Linked DNA regions of Drosophila melanogaster. The protein of the gene in region 1 interacts with the protein of each later gene in a pairwise test. Each region holds a gene or a part of one and is shown on either strand. Other genes may lie near its edges.

Region 1 (5,541 bases):
ATCTCGAGGAAAATACGACCATTAATCGAGTTCGAGCCGCGGACTCAAACGCGAAGTCAGACCATCGATAACCGCTCATTTCCGCAGCCAAAACTTTGTGGCAAGTGGCCATCCGAACCATCCAAATCCAAATCCCATTACAAGGGATTCGCCGCCACGGGGCGTCCTCCACATTATCGAGAGCATATCATCTCGTCATCGTCGATGCATCGACGACATGTGGAATGGTCGGTGATTGAAAGTGAATTGTGGCACTCAGTGCGCAGTGGAATGCCTCTCAAATTGCGTTTAGTACCCTAACTGAAAGGGTCGTGTGAAGAGTGTAAGGCGTTCTATGAATAGTGAATAGAATTCCTCACGATCTAATAAAGTCGATCTATTATATTGATTCAAATGGTTTGCAGGGTGCAAATTCTTCTGAATATTTTATTTACAATATTCTCAAGCTAATTTCTATATAATTTGTTATCGTACAAGCGTTACATAGAAATCTCGCAAACCAGAAGTGTATGCCTTTGTCGATGTTTCACCGGGGTCAGGCCTTTAGTCATTTGCTCCACTTAATGCGGCAAGTGAAAGATGCTTTGGGCTGAGCGCCCCTTTACTTACTCCGCGACTCGGAATAGAGGCAATGATGGCCCTATTTCGATTTGAGCCAGTAAATTCCAAATAAATTTGTCAAATTGTGACAATTAGGAGTAGACAGACCAAATGGCTGGCAGCACTGACGCAACTCCAAGGTTTTGTGGCGCAGCACACACTCTCCAACTGAACCATACTTAACCGTCTCTGTTCCGGTCGGGCGCGAAATAGTGTGTTTTGGTCACTTTCACGCAAATGAAAGAGAAACAAAAACAATGGCCTGCATTCTGCACAAGACCAAGACGACCTTCGGCTGGGGGTTCCAGCCTAAAAGGTGTGTTTGTTTGCTCACTGTCCCCTATTTGGCGCTGTGCAAATAAACAGTCTAGATACGATAACGTCTGGATTTCATTTGTGTTTATTTGGGTTTCGTTAGGTTGGTTTGTTGGGTCTTCTTAGCACGGCGGTGTTTGGGTTGGTGTGAAAACGAAACGAAAGGTGGAAGGCCGCTGAAGAACGACACCAGTGACTCAGATAAAAGGGAGTTATGTAAATTGAATGGGAAGCAAACTGTTTTGCCATATGTGCTATATACTGTCCATTATACTGCTGCTTTTTCCATTATATTAATCGCGGCTCTTGAATTATGGGAAAACCAATTTCTAAAATCACAAGATGGTCGGGTAGGTTGTACTCGTATCGTATTGTGTAACATTTCAAGGTGGAAAGGCTTAGATTGAATTGAGTGGGATATAGACTTGCATAAAATAATCACAGGCTCACTTTACATATATACATATAAGGCTTTATTCCGGAAGAGAAAAAGAGGCTCGAACGTTGCGAGACTTTGGCGGTAGCTGACATCCTATGACCTGGTCCGCAGATACACATGTGGACTATTGACGGAGGCGTCATGGCCTCCGGTCAGTCCCAACGAGGCGGCTGGCAAGTACTCGTTGAGATTAAGCGAGAACGAGGGCGGGAAGTGTTTGTCCTTGGCCTCGCGATTGATCCGATAGGTATTGCGGAAGGCGGCGGCTGGATTGATGGACCCACTGGCGTAACCCTGCAGAGCTGCGTAGTTGGGCGGCAGAGCACTCAAAACAGTGGCCGTTCGTCCTCCGAAGTCTGGCTGTGCGCCGGCGGAGATTGCAGGTTGAGATCCGCTGGCTGCTGCGGCAGCCGAGAGGTACGGCGAAATGGGCACTATGATCGGGCGGGTGGGTATCAGCTGAAGGTACTGAACCGAGTTTCCGGATCCATCCTGGATTGCCTGGGCCGGAAGATACTGCATGAGCATGGGAGTAGACGGTAAACTGGACACACTTGGTGTTCCCGCCGTTTGCATGGGCGTGAAGTTGGTCTCCATCTCGGGCATCTTGTACGAGGGCTTGAATGCCGGATCCGTTTGTGATGGAATCTGGCCCTGAAGCTGATTTTGGACTTGAGCCTGGTTCTGGGCCATGTCATAGCCACTGGCATAGGCACTCAGCGAGTTCAGGTGGGCCTCCTGTTGCTGTTGCTGCTGCTGTTGCACCTGTGGCAGGCCATTCGGGGACTTGGAACCCTTACTAGCTATCTCCGGACTCGAAACGGGGGAACCCTGAAGTAGGGGCATCACCAGGAGCTGCAGCAGGAACAGCTGGCAATGGATGTGAATGTGTCGGTGGCACAGCATCTACACGTAGCGAATAAGAGAAAAGTTAAGGGATCGTGTTCATGAAAAATATTTGCGATAATATATTTTACTTGTTAACCCAAAGGATATTATAAAATAACATTTTGCTGCTTATACCCGAAGCTGATTTTCAGGACGCGAAGTGCATCCGAAATGGAAAAATTGTATCGTAAGCTGCACTTGTAACTGAACTATATCTGCTATAGCAGCTTAGTTAATTCTGCAACACGAAGGTCAGATATTTTGGAACACCTTTCGATTTTATTATAAGCACAGAAAAAAAAAGTATGCGTATTTCACCTCGCTGAATTTTCTCTGCGATTTGAGTTTGAATGCTGCCTGGGAGCGTGGAAAACACTTGCACTTTTCCTGGCGAGCGACGCGCTTTGATTAACACGGCTGCATTGCCAGCCAGGCTTTTATATCGCTCGACGACCCGACCAATTTCCCGCAATTGGCAACAGGCTGCGGCTGCAGTTTTAACCAGTGCGAAACACGACAGCGCGCCAGCAAGCAACAGCATTTGGCTGGCACTGCCTTGGAAGCATTTCAGCGGCATTGTTGCGTGTGCCAGGCTCTTGCATGTCGCTAGTTGCAAGTTGCAAGTTGCTAGTTGCCAGTTGCTATTTGCTAGTTGCCAGTTGCTGTTTGCCGTCGTGGTGTCCATCGCTTTTGGCTACGCTTCAAGTTCAAGTTTACAGCCATCGATCGCGCATCAGAGTAATGGTTTCGTTTTCGCTTTCGATCGACTTGCTTTGCTTTACTTTGAGCCGCTGGGTTCCGTCTTCCGAATCCGAAACCGAAACCGAATCGGTTGTTTGGGGGCGTGTCGCTTTTGGATCTCGGATCGGTCCTCTTCCGCATTGCATATGGGTACGGCTACGGCTAACGAGTTTACAAGTCTTTTTCGGGGGGATGACAGCCCCCAGTGGTTGGCAGTTTGGCCGGTAGTTGTCCGCTTCAAATTGGCTTCATGGATTCGGTCAGAAAGTGGTCTTGCGATTTAATATATGTTCGATTTTTGAGTTTATTTTTTTCTTAAAGAAGCTAAAAGAAACTACGCTTTGAATCGAAATTTACTATTATGGTTATTCATAATTCAATTTATGATGCAGCCCGTTGTGTCCCACTGTGCCTATTAAAACGCTTTTAGTATAATTTGAACCATAAATTTAGCTATTGACTGAGGTAGTGTGATATGGCTGTGGAAGTGGAATGGTCACCCCTCCGTCTCAATTGGCAAAGCTCTGTGCGCTTCCCTGGGATTGGGTCTGCATTGGAGTGCCGGGCTCGAGACTTCCGAAGATCAGCGCGGAGCAGCGGCGATGAAGGGTGCGACGCCAGTCGAGCATCCCGCAGCGGAGCTTCTGGGGCAACGCGGTGGCCCATAGGGAAAGCCACAGAAGACATGCGCCGATCAGGCCGGTAGTCAGGCCCAAAGTCCAGTACTCGCAGACCAGGAAGGTTTGCTCCTCGACGGCCAAGGCCTGGAGTATGCCCACAATGGCGCACTGGCAGAGGGACTCTATGCGATGCCACAGTTTGCTAAGGGTCAGATCCAGCACCAAACAGCAGACGCCTGTCTCCAGTAAGAGCGATGCCCAGGACGACTCATTGCCGCGAAGGTTTCGATTCCCATTCCTGAACCGCTGATCGGCGGGCAGGGCACTTGAAAACATCCTCACCCCGTGAAGAAGGGTCACCACGCAGGCGGAAAAGAGCCAGGCGCCCAAGAGAGGAGCAGCGGAGCCGGGAGATTCGCGAAAGTAGTAGTAGTACGAGATGCCCAGTACCGAGTGAAGCAACACCGCCATGATCAAGGCCATTAGTCGAGCCATCTCCAGATGTCCTCCTAGGTGTACACTTCCAGTTTTACGGGAGTAAATTCGGGTCAGAAAGCCTTAAACTGAATTATTCAACTGACTTTTAAAGCAGCAGTCACTACTTGGTTAACTCCGAACACTTGTGTACAAGTATTCCTTGTTATTTTAAGAAGTGATACAAAAAGCAAGTTGTAAACTCTGTTAAAGTTTTTAAAGGCAATATTTAATATATTCGATGTTATCTTTTCAATTTATAATTTATATATTATGATTTATACAGCATTCTTGCGTGGCAGAATACCCCATCGGTAATGGCATAGGTTTCCTCTTTGTGTAATCACAGTCACTGTCTGCGTCACAGTTGAAGTCACAGACACCGCGCCAATTGCAATTATCACCACAAGTCAAACAGGCTCAGATGTCAAGGCCTTGTTTTCCTCATTTTCAGTGGGCTCATTACGTGAGGCAAGTGGAAATGGGAAATGTGCTCGATAGTAGTCAGCTTACTTTCATTTTTGTTTCGGCCAAAGCTTTGCGGCTCCAACTTTTGGACTTTAAAGCTTGAGCATGATCATGGAGAAACTCATAGATAAGCTCTTCCAGATCTTTATATGTACAATAATATATATGTACGTCTGGTAAACCAAGATGATTTATAAAATGATTAGGCTGGTTGGCATGGAATAAAATTTCTTGCATGCACTTGCTCCGCACTGTTCTCTGCCGACATGACGTCCCAATCCTGGTGATGCTGCTCCGCTTGCTCTGTCAGCAAGTCATAAATCTTCGGCTTCAACTGAACTTGATACATCAAAATGTTGGTCAAATTAAATTTCTTGCGCCTCGTCCTTTCCCGCACAGCTCGCCCCCGCCCCGCCCGCTGCTCCTTGATTCTCCCAGGGATTTCACTAGGAGCAGCTGCCAAGTAATTCGTCAAGCTGCTTTGTCCTCCTCCAGCGGCTGTTCTTATCTCATCTCTGGGTGAGCATTGTTGCTCCGCTCCTCTGTGCTGTGCTGTGCTGTTCTGTACTGTTCATCTGTCTGACTCCACCACCTACCAATCTACCTACCGACCTACCACCCCCATCCCTGTATCCCTGTATCGCCCCGTTTTGGCTGGCTTTCATGTCAACTGCATTTTTCTTTTGCTGTGTTGCTTGTTGTGTGCTGTGCGCTTTTTCACTGCTTTAAACCACTTAATGGGTTTTTTTTATGTGGACCTGGGTTAGATGGAAAAGCGCAAGGAGTGGGAGGCGGCCTGGCGGTGCCTCGGGGCTATTCATGCTGCAGCTTTCTTGTAGCTTCATTCACAAAGACTTGCAATTCATCAAATCTCGTTAGCCTCGGCTTTTATAGAAAATCTGCAGCTGCTTTTGCTTCTGCTTTTCTTTTCGGGGTTTCGGGGGGCTGTGCTCCTCTCATTCATCTGCCACGCCCACGGACACGGAGTGGGCGTGG
Region 2 (5,173 bases), about 15 Mb from region 1:
GAGAATATTATAATTTTATTGTATGTGTATTTGTATTTTGCTGAAATATAGAATTATTAGCATTCCAAAAAGTTGTTTCTTGTGTTTTCATTTTGTTTTTGTTTTCCTTATTTAATTTGATGTAGACCGTTAAAACACCAAAAATAACGATTTTAAAAATCTCGATAGATTGAACAAATTAATCGACAGCACTAGAACAGAAGAAGTGTTGTTTGTTGTCCTCTTCCGAAAAATGGTATAGATCTACGTTGAGGACGAAAAGGATGGCCAACGCTGTGGTGGTGTTGGACAACGGAGCGCATACGGCGAAAGTGGGCCTGGCCAATCAGGATGAGCCCCATGTGGTGCCCAACTGCATCATGAAAGCAAAGAGCGAGCGGCGACGCGCTTTTGTGGGAAATCAGATAGATGAATGCCGGGACACATCGGCGCTCTATTACATTCTGGCGTTCCAGCGCGGCTACCTGCTCAACTGGCACACACAGAAAACGGTGTGGGATTACATATTCAGCAAGGACGGCATTGGTTGTTCGCTGGAGAACCGCAATATTGTCATCACTGAGCCGCAGATGAACTTCCAGAGCATCCAGGAGGCAACGCTGGAGATTCTGTTTGAGGAGTACAAGGTTGATGGGGTGTACAAGACCACTGCTGCCGATCTGGCTGCCTTTAACTATGTGGCTGACAGCGAGGAGCGGACTACAATGGAATCGCTTAACTGCATCATCATCGATGTAGGCTACAGTTTCACCCACGTTGTTCCTTTTGTGCTGGGACGGCGCGTTCTCCAAGGCATACGACGCATCGACATGGGCGGGAAGGCGCTGACCAACCAGCTAAAGGAGCTAATCTCTTATCGCCACCTAAACGTCATGGACGAGAGTCATGTAGTTAACCAGATCAAGGAAGATGTCTGCTTTGTGGCGGAGGACTTCAAGCAGGCGATGCAGGTGCATTATTCGGAGGAGAAGCGACGCGAAGTCACAGTTGATTATGTCCTTCCAGACTTCACCACCGTCAAACGGGGCTATGTTCGTGTTCCCGGAAAGCCGCGCGAGGATGAGGAGCAACAGCAAATGGTGTCGCTGTGCAATGAACGTTTCACCGTGCCCGAGCTGCTCTTCAATCCCTCGGACATTGGTGTGCAACAGGTGGGCATTCCGGAAGCGGTGGCCGATTGTCTGAAGGCTTGCCCCTGGGAAGCGCACCGCGAACTCCTGCTCAACATCCTTATTGTGGGCGGCAGTGCCCAGTTTCCGGGATTTCTGCCGCGCCTAAAGCGCGATTTACGTGCCCTGGTGCCCGACGATCTTGAAGTGTCACTCATCTGTCCCGAGGATCCGGTGCGGTACGCGTGGTACGGCGGCAAGGAGGTTGCGACCAGCCCCAACTTTGAAGAGTTTGTTTACACGCAAGACGACTACGAGGAGTACGGTTTCCAGGGTATCAATCAGCGGTAACATGCACGTAGTCGAAGTATTTTTTCAATAATAAACTTGATTTGCACATGGGTTTTCTAGAACATTCCTTGTCTATATATTGAACTAGGGCTAAAGAGGACAAACTGCCAGCCTGCGGCAAGGAAGCGGGTGCGTCACTTACCTAGCGCTACAACTAAAATTTAACTATAGAACACAACTTAATATTTAGAATTCGTTTGCGAAGTAAAATTTACAAAGGATGCGGTGCTTTTGCCAACAACGTAATGAGATACAAGGTCGGGCCGCGTACTGCATTTAACTTAGTTAATTTAGGTCTGTCTGCGAGGCGGGTGCCGGCGGATCTCCTCCGGATCTCCATCGGTTTACATGCTGAACGATTCGCCGCAGCCGCATGTGCCCTTAATGTTCGGATTGTTAAACACGAACTCGCTGGACAGCTTCGATTCCACAAAGTCCATCTCGGTACCTGCAAGCGAATTATACTCTGTATTAGCTGGCTTGTCCAATGCTATGCTAAGCTGGTATGAACTTACCCAGCAGCGACAACTGCGCTTTCTTGTCGATGAAGACCTTGACGCCATCCTGGACCACCTCCTCATCCAACTTGTCTGCTGGCAAAAATCGACACAGAACGCAGCATTAGATCTCCACCGAACAACATTCTGTCCAGAGTGGCTTACCTTTTTGGCTGGCATAGTCCAGCGTGTAGGACAGACCATTGCATCCTCGCTGCCGTACGCCCACCTTTAGGCCAACCTGTGGCAGAAACAACATCGAATTTCTGTCATTAACTGTGTGGCTAATTTATAGGCAGCCTTGTTTATTGACCAAAGACAAAGAACTCGGTATTCTAATAAGTCTGTCTCAATTCAAAGAATTTAATCACTTAAAAACTAAATGATTAACAACAAGATAAACATGCTCATCAAAATTTGGTCGGGTCAAAATTTGGAAAATCTAGCTGATTAACGCAGGCCGAATTAGTTAGCATGGCTTATATTTATAGCTAATAATTTGCGCTAAAATATATGACTGACTGAGGAAAAAGCCTATTGTCAAATATAATGCTTGAAGAAGCCCTCTTGCGAACTTCCTATACTCCATGCAACCAGTGCTAAAACTTAAATAACATGCACGGGAACCTTTAAAGAGCTAGGCGAGATTATCAAGATCTCAATCGTGGAAGGCGATAGAATGCCCACTAAAGTGTAGCCTTGGTTCGATGACAACTTGTCAGCAGTCACTCACCATGTCCGGCTTGTCCTGCAGAAGCGTCTTGATGCGTAGCACCGCCGCGGGTGTCTGAAAAGGATTGGGGGAGATCAGAATCATCAGATCGAAGGGGACTGTTACTTCATCAGCAGCAGCATGCGCCGATTTCACCAGGTTTTGGTTTCCTTACCAGAGTCAGAGCGGCCCGCGTCGGGATTAACTTCCGGCCTTTCACCGCCCGCACTGTCGCCGTTGCCACCACACGTGTCGCCATCGGTTCGTGCCCTTTATATAATTTGTTTGACTCGAGAATTTCCACAAAAAAAATTCGAAAATATGAGTGCTTACTACCAGATGGTCGATAGTACTGTCGATAGTATCACGTGAGATGGCATTAACAGATGTCATCGATTGGCAGTGTCACGGGATAGCGGAGAAACGGTTACTACCTGTTTGAAAAATAAGTTATTTTTAAGCCCCAGAGTCCAGGTGGACTTCATTAATAACTTAACTTAATATTTCACAGTAGAATTTATATTAACAATTGGTTTTAATGTCTGTGAGTTACAGCAAATTTTATCAGCACCAGTGACAGCTATAGTAACTTTTTAAAATCGTGACTCGCGACTAGTTTTGAAATGAAAGGAGGTGCCATCTCTAAGTTTAAATGAATTTCACACTTTTCGATTGAGTTAAATAATATCAACAAAATCGAGGATATGTCCGCCCTAAAAAAATTTTATAAAATCAGCGCAGGTGTGAGAAGAGGCGCACTACTTACCAGTTCCCGAAGAACACAAATTGATGCTTTAAATAGTCCACAATTGCAGTTGCAAGTGCATCACTTTGCAACCAAAACACAAACAGCTGTTTTTAGCAGCAGCAACAACTACACGTGCATTTGCCGCAGTATACACTGCAGTAAGCCAGTGGTATGTTTGGAAATCAGTTGTAAATACAAATAAACTACCCAATTGATATTAAATAATGTTATTTACATTTGTAATTTAAAATATTATAAATGGAATGCAATATTTAAAATTATGTATAACAAAAAAGTTAAGTATAATTATTTTGCTCTGCTCCCAGGACGATGCGGACAAGACGGTGGCCACGAATAGCATTCCTCTGGCGAAACTGGAGGCCAAGATGCAGCTGATCTACACCTGCAAGGTGTGCCAGACCCGGAACATGAAGACCATTTCGAAGCTGGCATACCAACGCGGCGTTGTTATCGTGACCTGCGAGGGCTGCTCCAATCACCACCTGATCGCCGACAATCTGAACTGGTTCACAGATCTGGACGGCAAGCGCAACATCGAGGAGATCCTGGCCGAGAAGGGCGAGAAGGTGGTTCGCCTGACCGATGGCAACTGCGAGTTTTTGCCGAAACATGATTAAACTCGTAGTGTAGTTAAGTGAAAACGAATGCCACTTTATTTAGCAGCTCCAGCAAATGTGTCCAGGAATTGGGGGGTAGTTGGGCACGCAGCTGCTGGGCGAACTGCCGGCGACATATGGATCCGGTGGCCAGCATCAGGTAGGTTATGTATGTGGCCTCGTTCACGGGCAGCTGCGAGACAGCCGTGACTGGTGCATCAGCGGTCAATTGCATCTCATCCAAGTCTAGGTAGGGCAGGTGGCGATTCCAATGGTCGATTAGGTAGGCAATAAGGCTGCCGGCCAGACGTACATGCTCCATACTGGCCCAGAATCTCATCTCATTGGCGGATTGCGATACGAACAGAAAGATATTGTGCAGGAAGCCGGTGCAAGCGGTAGATCCGCCCTCCGATAAAGTGTCACAGATCATGTGGCGCATTAGGTAGCAATCCTTGTGAATTTCGCTGTCCTTTGGCTCCCTAAAAAGCTGCAGCCACACCTGGTACTCAATCAGCTCCATGGAGCGCTTTATTGCGGTCTGCATGTCCTCAAGGCTGGATAAGCGGCCAATCCGCTTGACTAGCCGTCGCATCTGCTGAAGATCGGGATTGATAAAATCGCTGGAAGAAAGCGCATCCGATTGGCGTATTGCCGACCAGTCCAAATCACCGATCTCACTCCACGCAGGCTGAATCTCGGCCAACGTTCGATGCGAAAGATGAAGCAGTGGTGCATGAGTTTCTCCCTTTCGTGTGTTCACGATGGTGGTACACAGCTCACGAATACACTTCCGTCGATCCACCAATGCAGAGCAGCTAGCGAAGAAGCCACGGCAATCGCAGCGTTCGGCCAGCGATTGCCCGAAGCGATCATAGCACTCGAACAGGTACAGGTGAGCCTTTAGCAGGGATTCCACAACGGATTGGCTCAGTCGCAGATGGCGGTGCTCGGAGTGCATCTCCTCCTGACAATCGTGCAGCCATGTGAGTAGCTTGAGACAGTGCGGCGCCACATCTTCAAGCACGCTGCTCGTGGATAGGCTCAGTTCTTTTCGGATAAACAAATCCATACGGACTGCAGCTGTCAGCTGTCCGAAAATTCGATGTCACAATCGATAATGTCGATCGGTTTGCTGT
Region 3 (4,530 bases), about 19 Mb from region 1:
GGCCAAGACAAAGTGGCTCAGAAGCACGCATACGCATGACCAGAAGTTGGCCAAACTGGGATATGTCGATGGGCCTGTACATAACTGGTCCACCCTCGGCTTGATTATAAATTTCAACTTAATTACTAAAACAGAATTTAATCCTTTCGAAGTGTGTCGCCGACTTGCCCATTATGTATGTACATACATATGTATGTATGTATGTATGTACAAGCATGCCTGATGAAATGGGTATGCGGTTGCAAACTACAAAGGATGCCTCACAACTTATGGCCAAGCAAACTATCCGCTCGCTCCGCTATCACCGACACAGTTAGCAACAACAATCGCCCGAGGCAATTGTGCGGCGTGGTGCACAGTGGGGCAAAACTGACAGCACTTGGCACACATTTTGGATAGTGTCTTCTCACTGAAGTGTAATATACGTGCATTTCTTGTAAAGTTGATAATGATGATAATATTCATAATAATGATACAACGTACATATTTATATCGTTTAGAACAAACATATAATTATATCCACTGCATTATTATTCTTATTGAGCAGCTATATAGCATACCATTCTGAAATTTATTCAATTTTCAACAAATTACAGAGCACAAGGTAAATAAATTTTGATATTAATATTTTTATATTTCCATAAATATATGTATACATATGTACATACATTGCGTACTTTACAATTGAGAATCTTAAGTCGAGTGTGGCACATTTGGCTATATTTTTGTTATGTTTATGCAGGAAAACCAATGGCCACATATACACGCACACACATACGCCCACCTGACATTCTTGTATGTGTATGCTTTCACCCCCTAAGCACACACACAAACAAACGCACACTGGGCACATACATACATACATACATACATACATGACTAAACCAATTTCCACAGAGCATTTTAAATTTCAAGCACACATGAAACGGACGAAGAAAGGCGAGTGGCAAGCCGTAGGCCGCCCCCTCCCACATTCACACACAGATGTGTGGGCAGCAACTTAACTTACAATAAAGGACATTGCCCAGCCTCCTGCCACCCACCACCCGCCTCCCCACCCCGCAACGGTATGTAAAGTGCGTAAGTTGTGTCCAAGGGTTTGGAATACGAGGATTGGGACCCTGGGCTTGGGTTCATTTGGGGGTTTTCTGCACTATTTTACATACGTAATGCGAACTTCATGGATGCAGAGCTCATAAGCGCCAACGGCCAAGGCTTTTGGAAATTAGCGTGGCTGCCAAATCAGGAACCGGCTTAAGGAGCACCAGGATTCCGGGATTGGGGTGCTATGGAGTGGAGTGGGTCGGTGTGTGGTGTGGTGTGTGGTGTGTGCTTGTATCCCCGGGCGGCTTGGTGGCAATCAACTGGGAATAGAGCCAGAGCACTCCTTTAGCCCAAGCGAACATGAAACGATTTAAAAAGTTATGTTTTATGTGTTCTTGTTGCCAAAGTAAACTGTAAACTGAATATGTTGATAAAATACAATAGATATGCTTTCAAAAATACTCGTAATATCATATTTATTCTGGTGAAACAAATAAGTTCTCAACAAAGGAAGGTTCCAGGTGTCCCAACCGGATTTGCTCCGAAAGAGACTGTGCCTCACAGGTCTTCGCCCAACTGGGCCGTCCTGCTCGGTATTTCGTCCGGGATGTTGAACGTGTGGCGGATCTCCTCGGGAGTCTTTCCCCTAATCATATTGGCCACCGTCTTGCAACAGAGATCCACTAGGCCCTTGATCTCCAGATAGTTGGCGGCCAGTATGATTTCGAACAAGGTGGGTTGATCGACGTTAATAAAGTTGGCGTCCCAGGCTGAGATGTCATGTGGGCTTTGCGGGCTCAACTCCACGCCCTCCGCTCCATGGGCATCATCGTCCTTGTGGTGATAGATCCAGGTCAGAATCTTGGATAGGATGAACGCGTTCACCTTGGGCAGCGGCACAATGGCATTCTCGTCGTTCTCCACGGCAGAGACCTCCAACATGGTCTTGATGGTTTCGGAGAGCTTGGCGGCTCGGACTTCCGTTGAAAAGATCATCCCATCCGAGGACTCAAGCTTGATGGTGGGAGCATCCATTTTCGGTTTGCCTTGCCTTTCTATTTGCCAAACTACGTTCAAAGAGATTCAGAAGAACAAGATGGGATGATTGATAGAGCACGTGCCAACTGGACGATTCGAAAGTTCAAAGAAAAAAGAATAGAGAACAGAGTGACCAGATGTGATCACTGCGGAATCACTGTCGTCAAGTGTGTACACACTAGAAATTGGAAGTCTTAACATTAAGAACTGTAGATTCGCTTTAGCTTTTTTATTGAGAATCGCGAATCGTGTTTTATTTATCATATCAGACCTTAAAAGTGTAATAAAAAAAAGTGTAATATGAATTTTAAAACCTATATGAATGTTGGGTAAGTGCTCAATCAAAAAATTTCAAAATAATAGTTCCGGAAAGAACCCCGTAAAAAATATTTTTAACAGAGGGAACTGGAAAATAGCACGTGGGCTTACATTACTTGCTCTAATTTTTCAAAAAAACTTTAAATTAAATATATATTTTTTCATTTGAAAAACAGACGGACAGAAGGCACTTTCTACCTGTTACATACTCATTAGCGATTCTAACATTCCCTTTTACTGTATTATTATTGTTTTATGAAACACTCCAATTATGTGTAACTTGCTTTCCATAAAATATATACACTTAACAGAATCAAAATTTTCAGTTACCGTAAAACTGTATTTTGAACCGAGTTCCAAAATAATATATTAATATTAAATCCAAGATACAAAGAAGAATTTCGATTTGCTAGCTTTAGTACTTAATTACGTACTTAATACGAGGATGAGGATGCAATTCGGCCAAAAAAGTGTCCGTTTTGGATAGCAAAAACAAAGTGCGAAAATACCATTATTCGAGTGAGTTTTCCTAGCCGCCAAACGGAACGCGATTTAAGTTTTTTTTTTTGTGTGCCAGTTGACGCAAAGGCTCTAACCTATTAGGCGGTCAGCAAAAAAATGAACTCGAGTCATGCCGTCTTGTGGAGCACCCTTTTCGAGCCGTCCCGGGGATCACCCCTTCCCATCGATTGACAGCAGCCGCACATAAACCAAAACCCTAAGATTTGTATTTAATTTAAATGCTTAAAAGATATATTAATTAAAAAAAGTGAGCATGTGGACAAGAATAATTTTAGGGTTAGAAGACATGAATACAGAGGGAGAAGTTTCTGCTGAAGTAAACATATTGATAAATTCTATCGGACCTAAACCTATACTTGCGTGAAAGATATCAAACTGCGAATGTACACTGAGAGAAATTTTCTGAATAATTATATCCGCAAATATTTGAATTATTCGCAATAATTCCTTTAAATGTGAACCCAAGGAGGAGACTTATTTTATATTACTTTTGTATTTTTAATTTTTATTTAATTTGCCACGCCCACAAACCGCACAAAACTGCCACGCCCACACTTTCGAAAAACGTGTTGATATTATTTCAAATTTTTATTAGTCTCGTAAATTTCTATTGATAAAAACAAAAATTTTGCCACACCCACTCGAACGCCCTAAAACCGCCCAACCGGTCACGCCCACACTTTGGAATAATTTTTTAAAATTTTTATAATTTTTTTTTATATCTATCGATTTTTCTGAGTAACGGGTATCTGATAGTCGGGGAACTCGACTATAGCATTCTCTCTTGTTTTTCCCAAAGTTGAACAAATTCTATACAGATTAACGCGACAAATGAATACACTGAGAACAATTGCTTGAACCCTAATTATATTGCTAGACTATAAGCTATTAAATATTAATTAAAATCTAACCGACCTTACCCGCAACCCACTCACTTACATTTAATTTTTACTGATTAAAGAAACTGATTTGAAAAAAAAGTAATAATTTATAAAACAAGAATATCGTGAAGAACAACAACACTGAAAAAAAAAACTGAAATATGGAAAAACTTAAATAAATAATTTATTCTTTTTTTTTTAGATTATATTTAGTCATCTTAACGTCTATTTAATTATAGTTTTTTTTCTTAACTTACATAAGTCATTATCTATCACCTTACTCTGAGCAAATTAAATTTATTTCAATTTGTTATGTACTTATTATTGGTTCCTATAAATATTGTTATTAATCATTAGTCAGCAAATGATAGAAATGAATATGTAAAAATTAAAATACTGAACTCGGCTGATGTTTCTCCGGACATAGGGCACATAAGGGGCCACTAGAGCCATTGCTCTCAAGGAAAGCTAGGTCATAGGTACACCTATTGTTTCATGCTTTCATTCTCTTCTTGAACTATCTTCGTTCGAATATATTAATTTGCTTCCTCCGATTTTGTATACTAACTCCTATATTCTTTTGTCGCAAGCATAGACCACCACCCCACAACGCCAAAGAGCTAGAGCCGGATTCTGAAGCGTGCATCCGCCAGTACAGGTTCCCTTGCCTTCCATCAATTCTTTTCGTTACACGTAACCAGTCTGAACCAAACATCCAAATGATCTT

The links. Proteins that work in one complex are often made in the same cells at the same time.
Region 2: the proteins of CG14627 (region 1) and MagR interact in a two-hybrid assay, tested with the Drosophila melanogaster proteins (one large-scale study listed by BioGRID).
Region 3: the proteins of CG14627 (region 1) and SkpC interact in a two-hybrid assay, tested with the Drosophila melanogaster proteins (one large-scale study listed by BioGRID).

The regions. Positions count from the first base shown.
Region 1 is NC_004354.4:1,178,821-1,184,361, reverse strand, and holds CG14627 (uncharacterized protein), read right to left. Parts: upstream 2,743-5,541; 5' UTR 2,561-2,742; intron 2,495-2,560; exon of another isoform or gene 2,332-2,494; intron 2,261-2,331; coding exon 1,448-2,260; 3' UTR 1,013-1,447; downstream 1-1,012. Other genes in the region: CG11379 (uncharacterized protein), read right to left, coding at 3,493-4,098.
Region 2 is NC_004354.4:15,732,124-15,737,296, reverse strand, and holds MagR (magnetic receptor), read right to left. Parts: upstream 3,028-5,173; 5' UTR 2,929-3,027; coding exon 2,845-2,928; intron 2,745-2,844; coding exon 2,691-2,744; intron 2,199-2,690; coding exon 2,123-2,198; intron 2,054-2,122; coding exon 1,976-2,053; intron 1,909-1,975; coding exon 1,805-1,908; 3' UTR 1,517-1,804; downstream 1-1,516. Other genes in the region: Arp6 (Actin-related protein 6), read left to right, coding at 264-1,460; CG12379 (uncharacterized protein), read left to right, coding at 3,374-3,586, 3,744-4,055; CG8191 (uncharacterized protein), read right to left, coding at 4,069-5,106. UniProt on the Drosophila melanogaster protein: Involved in the assembly of mitochondrial iron-sulfur proteins. Probably involved in the binding of an intermediate of Fe/S cluster assembly. Required for maintenance of circadian rhythms under constant darkness.
Region 3 is NC_004354.4:19,813,687-19,818,216, reverse strand, and holds SkpC (SKP1-related C), read right to left. Parts: upstream 2,146-4,530; 5' UTR 2,080-2,145; coding exon 1,603-2,079; 3' UTR 1,517-1,602; downstream 1-1,516.